Linked DNA regions of Macaca mulatta. The protein of the gene in region 1 purifies or fractionates together with the protein of each later gene. This does not show direct contact. Links are inferred from orthologs where the notes say so. Each region holds a gene or a part of one and is shown in the gene's direction. Other genes may lie near its edges.

What was found.
Region 2: the proteins of FBXW2 (region 1) and CUL1 purify together in Homo sapiens (affinity purification with western blotting; 13 studies listed by BioGRID and IntAct, with this or other methods). This does not show direct contact. The link is inferred for Macaca mulatta from reciprocal best matches to the Homo sapiens genes FBXW2 and CUL1.

Annotation. Positions count from the first base shown.
Region 1 is NC_133420.1:37,410,465-37,414,926, forward strand, and holds the start of FBXW2 (F-box/WD repeat-containing protein 2), read left to right. Parts: upstream 1-1,464; 5' UTR 1,465-1,523; intron 1,524-1,619; 5' UTR 1,620-1,911; coding exon 1,912-1,990; intron 1,991-4,462. UniProt on the Homo sapiens protein: Substrate-recognition component of the SCF (SKP1-CUL1-F-box protein)-type E3 ubiquitin ligase complex.
Region 2 is NC_133408.1:188,577,385-188,581,200, forward strand, and holds part of CUL1 (cullin-1), read left to right. Parts: intron 1-280; coding exon 281-448; intron 449-2,639; coding exon 2,640-2,690; intron 2,691-2,889; coding exon 2,890-2,980; intron 2,981-3,672; coding exon 3,673-3,816. UniProt on the Homo sapiens protein: Core component of multiple cullin-RING-based SCF (SKP1-CUL1-F-box protein) E3 ubiquitin-protein ligase complexes, which mediate the ubiquitination of proteins involved in cell cycle progression, signal transduction and transcription.

The DNA of each region.
Region 1 (4,462 bases):
GGTGCTTTTCAAGTGTTCAGTAGCCACAAGAGGCTAGTGACTGCCTTATTGGACAGCACCAAGAGAACAACTCCATCATAGGCAAAAGGCCTATTGGACAGTGTTGGTATAAGATGCATGTGAATGTGCGTGTATGCATATATGGTTTAGGAACCCTTACAGAGAAACGAGGATAACTTGTGTGCTGGGCATCATGGTTCACCCCTGTAATCCGAGCACTTTTTGGGAGGCCCAGGCAGGTGGATCACTTAAGCCTAGAAGTACAAGACCAGCCTGGGCAACACAGCAAAACCCTGCCTCTACAAAAATACACACAAACACACACACACACACACACACAATTAGCTGGGCATGGTGACATGCATCTGTGGTCCCATCTACTCAGGAGGCTGAGGTGGGAGGATCGCTTGAGCCTGGAGAAGTTGAGGCTGCAGTGAGCCAAGATCGTTGTCACTGTACTCCAGCCTGAGCGACAGAGTGATACGTTGCCTCAAAAAAAAAAAAAAAAAAAAAGGGTAACTTGTGCTCTGAAGTCAGTTTAGGTTGAAATCCAACGACAGCCATTTACTATGACCTTAGGCAAGATGCCTAAACCTCTTTTGATTTCAGTTTCCCGATCTCTAAAAATGGGCCTAATAATAGTTACCAGCTTGTGCGGTTGTTGTGGGAGCTGAGTGAGATGGTACACAACAAGTGTTAAGAAAGAGTGCGTGGAATTTTTTAGCTCAGTTTTAGTTCTTGAAGCAAAAAGGTTTGCATGCTTAATTTCCTTCAATCCTCAGAGCCTACCGATGGGGAGTTGACTATAACTTCCATGCAGATGAAGCAAAGTCTGAGAGGTGAAGTAACCAGGGCATAGCTAGAGTGTAAATGTTGTGATTCATTCAAATCTACATCACTTGACTGTCTTTTTTCATTCAACAACCTCCTTACCTTGCTTTATTTCTCTCCTTTTCACATGCCTTACTTAGTCTGTCTTCCTCCTTCTAATAGATGTAAGCCCCCGGCGGTCAGGGATTTTTGCGTTTTTTGTTCACGAACCCTATCCCCTAGAACAGTGTTCGGGATAAAGAGGGGCCCAACAGGTCGTATGAATCTGGACACGTCTCAACTTCCCTGAGCCACAGCTCCCTCTCCTCCGAAAATGAGGATAATAAGAAAGCCTACTGCAGAGCTGGTGCAAGATCGGATTGGAGGAGCGACACAAAAGCGCTGTGCAAACCTGGATGTACGGTACGAAAAGAAGCTCTGTTCTAGGTTGCATCCCGCCTAAGCACCGTCAGGGCCGCGCGGCGAGCGTTCAACTTCCCGGGACGCTCTCCTCCCAATCCCTACTCCTGGCCTCCACCCTCCTACCACCCACCACCCACCTCGGGGCGGGGACCGGAAGTGCAGCCACTTCCGCCGGGCGCCGCGGAGCTGAGGGACGCGCGGAGATGAGGGACGCGCGGAGATGACGCAGGCAGCACCGGAAGCCGCTCCCCAGTGAGGCTGTGGACCGGGAGCGGCGGCCGCAGGTCCAGGTCTGTATGCGAGGCGGGGCCGGTCGGGGAGGGGACTTTCAGGCGCCCGCGCCTCTGCTGACCTGCCGCGCCTTGGCTGTTTTTCTCTCCCTGCAGGCGCCATGGCTGCGGAGCGGACCCGGCCGCTGCGAGGCTCTGGCGGCCCGAGCGTGCCTAGTAGCTGTGAACCCGGCTCGAGGTCCCGGGCCCCGGGGTGCTCGCTCAGGTCAGTGCCGCGCGGAACACGGTTCCGAGAGCAAGGGACCTGGGAGCGACGAATGGGTTGATGGGATCTGGATTTTAGAAATGGGAAAACAGGGTTTCGGAGTTACTGCCTCCTACTGCCTCCATTTCCTTAGCTGCAAAATGAGTTAACAGTGATGTCCCAGGGCTACCAAATGTTTGAAAGATGATGAAGTGTGATGAGGTGGTTTATGAAGTACAAAGAGCTGTGCTGCGCCATAATTGTGGGTATGCCGTGAAAACAGGTGTGTGTGGGGGGTGCTGCTTGAAGTAAAGCAAAGATAACAATATTAATGCTGAGTGAAAATGGTAACCGACATTTACTGTAGGCTTACAGCGTGCCGGGTACTGTGCTAAACGCTTTACGTGCACTATCTTGTTTAACCCTCATAAAAGCCCTTGTAGGTAATGCTCTTCGTGGCTGTATTTTACAAGTGAGGAAACAGGGCGTGAGACAGGTGAAGTGTTTTGCCCAAGGTCACCCAGCAACAAGTGGAGTTGCAGAACGCATTTTTATAAACATTTGTATTCTTTCAAAGCTTTAAAAAATTCACCTTAAAACTAAAGGCTGTCTTTTGATAGTATATCATACTTACATGGTTTTCAGTTTTAAAAGGTATACGATAAAAAGGGACCTCTCATTCCTTTTCTCCAGTTCTGTCTGGAGGCAACCAGGGTTGTCAGCTTCTTGAATATTCAGAATACATTTTATGCATATGTAAGTTTATAGGTGTGTATACATTTTCAACGCCTCTGTACTCCTTGATAAGAAAAGAGGGGGAAATGAAGCCTCCTTCCCTCTAACACTAACAATTAGGTTGCTTTCACTCTTGACTAGGCCAGGTTCTGATGGAGGAGGAGGTGGGGAAAACACATTTACACTGTTTTCCAGAAGGTCCTGTCTCTAACACCTTAGAGTATAGGTTTGGGGAGGATGGGTACTGGGCAAAATATTGAGCCTGCTACTTCCTATGCCATTCTGGGAAAGCCACTCCACTTCTTGAGCCATAAATTTCCTTATCATGTTAGTTAAGGGCGGCATTACTGATACCTTCCATGAGGTTATGAAGATCAAATGAGATGTTTACCAGTGGTACTTTTTCTTTAAAACCAATATAAATATGTGAGTTGCCTAAGGTAATATAGGGAGTTAATGGCAGAACCTGAGACCAAACCCGGGCTCTCTTTTTCCAATTTAGGAGTCTTTTTGTTACATGACCCACTTTGTGATTATTGATACTGAATGCAAGAGGGCAAGTTGAATGTTAACTCTGAGGTAGAGGTGTGGGGTAAGGGGGCCAAACAGCAGGGAATGTGGATAGAATAAGGCACCTGCTGGGAAACGAGAGCCTGCAATAAACAGGTGCTCTTTTCTTTTCTTTTTTTTTTTTTTTGAGACGGAGTCTCGATTTGTTGCCCAGGCTGGAGTGCAGTGGCGCGATCTCGGCTCACTGCAAGCTCCGCCTCCCGGGTTCACGCCATTCTCCTACCTCAGCCTCCCAGGTAGCTGGGACTACCGGCGCCCGCTACCACACCCGGCTAATTTTTTTTGTATTTTTAGTAGAGACGGGGTTTCACTGTGTTAGGATGGTCTCGATCTCCTGACCTCGTGATCCGCCCGCCTCGGCCTCCCAAAGTGCTGGGATTACAGGCGTGAGCCACCGTGCCCGGCCAACAGGTGCTCTTAATTATCAAGTTAAACCCCTAGTAAGTTTGAGCCCTTGAGTTTTTCTTCCGGGTATTTTGAAGATAAACTTTGTGGTAAGATGATGGGGTCGAAAGAGATGTTAGTGGTCATGTCCACTGGTCATTCCAGCCTCAGTGTCACAGAAATCTTTCCTGCCAGATATTCATAGTAATAAAACTAGCAAAAAGTACCATTTGAGTTTTTACCCCCTAGACTGTACACTGTGCTAAGCTTGTCCTTGCTATATTTCTAAGTTTCACCCTTCAAGTTGGATGATAGCTTCCATTTTACAGATGATAAAACTGAAGCTTAAAAGTTAGTTGGACATGCCCGTAATCACATAGGAAGTGGTTGAATCAGTAAAACATTTGACCTCCAAAGCATTTTCATGTATCACATTCTGCCTCTGTGTGCAACTGTCCTTGACTGTTCGTGGTAATGGGAAACTAACTACTCTGGAGGGAGCTATTCCATTGTTAGAAAGCGCTGAGATTTAAAAGCTTCTCATGTTGAATTGAAATCCCATTTCCTGAGGTTTGTGCAACCAGTATATGATATTTCTAGAGGCTGCCTAAAAGAGTCCAGTTTAGACTTGTTACCTTAGAAAGCCCCCTCCAAAGTTAGTTGATCCTTTTGGAAAAGTAAAAAATTGGTGTTTTTTAATAATACATTCTGCGGTTAGTGAGACTTGCTTTTTTAGGGGGAAAAAAATGCCTTTTTCAGAATAATCAGAGGTGAACTGCTCAATCCTACAAGGGATTGAGTGGTTTAAAAGGCAATCTAAAAGTTGGGAAAATTTTTTTATTAAGAGTTAGGAGAATATTTAAATCTCAGATATGGCTGAGCTTTTTAGAGGTGCTCTCTGAAAAAGCTTCTTCCATAATCTTTAGCGGTGTCATCGGCACATTAATTTGACTTTTTAAAAAAATTATACTTTAAGTTCTAGGATACTTGTGCACAACGTGTAGGTTTGTTACATAGGTATACATGTGAATTTGGCATGTTATAGTATGTCTCTTAGATATTTGTG
Region 2 (3,816 bases), on another chromosome or scaffold:
AGGAATTACCTGCATATCAAATGTTCAGGGTACTTTTTTTGAGTGTTTGTGGATATTTAATACCATGAAAAATGTTCCTGTTTAATTTGAGATGAAAGAATTGTTTTTACTATATTCTTGTGAGTTTATTAGCATGTTTTTGTATACAGAATAATTTAAAGAAGCCATCTAAAATCACATGTATCAATGTATTTTAATACAGTAGATGTTACTCACTTTTATTTTTAATTTATAATGTGACAAATTAGTCATCTTAAAGCTTTAGTTAACTTGTTTTTAGGATGGAGAAGATTTGATGGATGAGAGTGTACTGAAATTCTACACTCAACAATGGGAAGATTATCGATTTTCAAGCAAAGTACTGAATGGAATTTGTGCCTACCTCAATAGACATTGGGTTCGCCGTGAATGTGACGAAGGACGAAAAGGAATATATGAAATCTATTCAGTAAGAGTTTTGTTTTAAATGTGTTTTTTTAAAATGATAAATTGTCTTTTAGTAAGAGAATCTAGGCAAATATTAAGCTTTTTTCAGAGTAGTAAACTAATTTTCATTGTTTTATCAATAAATGTCCCTTAAATATTTTTTAGCAAGAAAGTAGAGGAATGGGTAAATTGGAGTTCTAAAATACAATTTGTCCATTTCTGCATTTGCTTTTTAAAAATTTCTTCTTTAATTACCTGACCCTACCATCACAATTGGCATGGAACTGCCTGAGTTTTCTCACTGAAAGTCCTGAGTCGTGGCAGTCCCAGGCAAATCAGGTGCCATACCTGAGGGCGAGCCCTGAGGATTAGCCCTCCCATACTTTATAGCCTGGTAAACCCTGCTTCAGGGAGAGGACCCTGAATTAATTACTAAATCACTCTCATTAATATATGTTGCTTCAGTCAGCAAAAGGGGTTTTTTTGTCCATTGGCTTTCAAAGTATGGTCCCATATTTGTCTGTTTTCATAACTTCTGATAAAAAACTGCCTGAGACTGGGTAATTTATAAAGAAAAGTTTAATGGGCTCAACAGTTCCACGTGGCTGGGAAGGCCTCATAATCATGGCAGAAGGCACATCTTACATGGTGGCAGGCAAGACAGAATGAGAGCCAAGCGAAAGCAGAAACCCTTATAAAACCATCAGATCTCGTGAGACTTATTCACTACCATGAGAACAGTGTGGGGGAACCACCCCCATGATTCAGCTCTCTCCCACTGAGTGCCTCCCGCAACATGTGGGAATTATGGGAGCTATAGTTCAAGGTGAGATTTGGCTGGGGGCATAGCCAAACCGTATCACGTCCCCAAACCTGCTCTGTCAGCATCACCTGGGGACTTGTTAGAAATGCACATTCTTAGGCCTCATCCTAGACTTAAGGAGAAACTCTGGAGATGGGGCCCAGCAATGTTTTACCAAGCTCTCCAGACAATTCTGATGCATGCTCCAGTTTGAGGACCAGTGTTCTAGAGCAATTAAGGGAGGACTCAGAAGCTCTCCAGACAATTCTGATGCATGCTCCAGTTTGAGAACCAGTGTTCTAGAGCAATTAAGGGAGGACTCAGAACAGTCTGTTCGTGATCAACACAGGCAATGCCCTTTAAAACTAGTTTTGTTAAAATGTCAGATTCTACATAAAGAAGTTAATCACCATATCCAAGAATGTTGCTATAATAGCAATACTTTGTAGCTTCACTTTTGACAAATTTAAAAGAAAAACATAATGCTGGTTGCAGTGGCTCATGCTTGTAATCCTAGCACGTTGGGAGACCGAGACAGGAGACCAGCCTGGGCAGCATAATGAGACGTACAAAAAAATGTATCCAGGCATGGTGAGGCACCTATAGTCCCAGCCACACATGAGGCTGAGGTAGGAGGATCGCTTGAGCCCAGGAGGTGGAGGGTGCAGTTAGCCATGATCGTACCACTGGACAGAGTGAGATCCTGTCTAAAGAAAAAAAAGAAAAGAAAGAAAAGCATAATGTATCCCAGATGCATGACTTGTTTTTATTGTTTGTGTAACTCCAGTTTCTATACCAAAATTGTTAATTGGTTCATAATGATACTTTGCTATGTAGTTAGTCTGGTTCTAACAAAACTTTCTAGGTTTAGTTGTTTGATTTGGGGTTTTTGTGCTTCCCCTTTAACATTTTGTTTATTTTTTTAACTGACAAAAATGTGTACACCATGCCTTTTTGAAATATGTGTGTATTGTGGAATAGCTAATGGGATTTTTTTTCTTTTTCACATATAAATGCTTTCTTGAGACTCAAAAGTTGTTAGTATAGGAATCAGGATGATCTTGGTTCATTTCCTTTTGGAAACCTGCTTGACCTAAATGTGTACCCTACAGTAACATCACAGACTCCTAAAAATAATTACGGTTTTTAAACTTTTCCTATACTGTTTTCAACAACAGTTAAAGAAAATATAAATAAAGAAGTTGAGCTGACAAATGTCTGTGCTTGGATACCTCTTGAAGTTGTTGACTCTAGAGAGTGGCTTTCTGATTTCGTCATGATAGCAGATTTTGACCAACTTGTAATCTAGAAATTTTGATGAAGTAATTTGAGATTTAGATTATTTCCTATGACTTCAATCTTGGAAAAACATAGTAAAAGTATAGATATTTTGTACTTTTTTTTTCTCCAGCTTGCATTGGTGACTTGGAGAGACTGTCTGTTCAGGCCACTGAATAAACAGGTACCTACTGGTGTAAGCGTGTGCGTGTGCGTGTTCCTTTTAAAATCCCTTCACAGTTTCGTTGCTTAGCCTTTGTCTGCTCACTCCTTTGGATTATCCCATCTTACATTGTTTAATGGCTGTGAATGTTTAAGGGATATGTAGTAATATATATCATATTCTATAACCTGTGTAATATTTTTCTACATCCTTTCTAAAGGTAACAAATGCTGTTTTAAAGCTGATTGAAAAGGAAAGGAATGGTGAAACCATCAATACAAGATTGATTAGTGGAGTTGTACAGTCTTACGGTAAATAATTTCCCTTTAGTTTATTCAAAGTTTCCACATCAAATGGCAATTATGACAATGCTCTAACAGATTTCACTTTAAAATATTTTCATATTATAAAGGACATTGTTAGCATTTACGAAGGTACTTCTCTTTCTTTTTAAGTCAGTGTGACTTTGTTTTTATCCATCATAAAAGCTGTTTGATCCGTGTGCCTTAAGGAAATTTTGATGAAATAGACATTTTAATTATTTTCTTTTCTGGTCTCGTAGTGGATTACTGGACATGTTAGAGTGTGAGCTCAATGATAACCAGAAATCTATATCAGCTTGAAAAATTGAGATTGAGAAACTGATAAAGTAATACAATGTCTTAAAAACTTGGGTAGCATTGTATTTCTTTGCAAATTTAAAATTAGTTATTTTTATTGCCTTTGGAAATATAAAAGTTCTCTAAAGGAACTTCATCATAATTTTGAAGCATACCTGGCCATGGGTCAGAATTACTTGCTTTTTATACATCTTGGATTTTTTTCCTTTTTTATTTTATTGAAAGAGTGTACTTTAATACTAGTGAGTAAGAGTTACTTATGTCCTGCCATTTCACATTTACCTTTTAAACATAACTTAAACTGAATGCTACACCTAAGTATATTCTGTGAAATATAACCAAAAAAATAGGGTAATTGAAATATAGCTCATATTCATTTCTAGTGGAATTGGGGCTGAATGAAGATGATGCATTTGCAAAGGGCCCTACGTTAACAGTGTATAAAGAATCCTTTGAATCTCAATTTTTGGCTGACACAGAGAGATTTTATACCAGAGAGAGTACTGAATTCTTGCAGCAGAACCCAG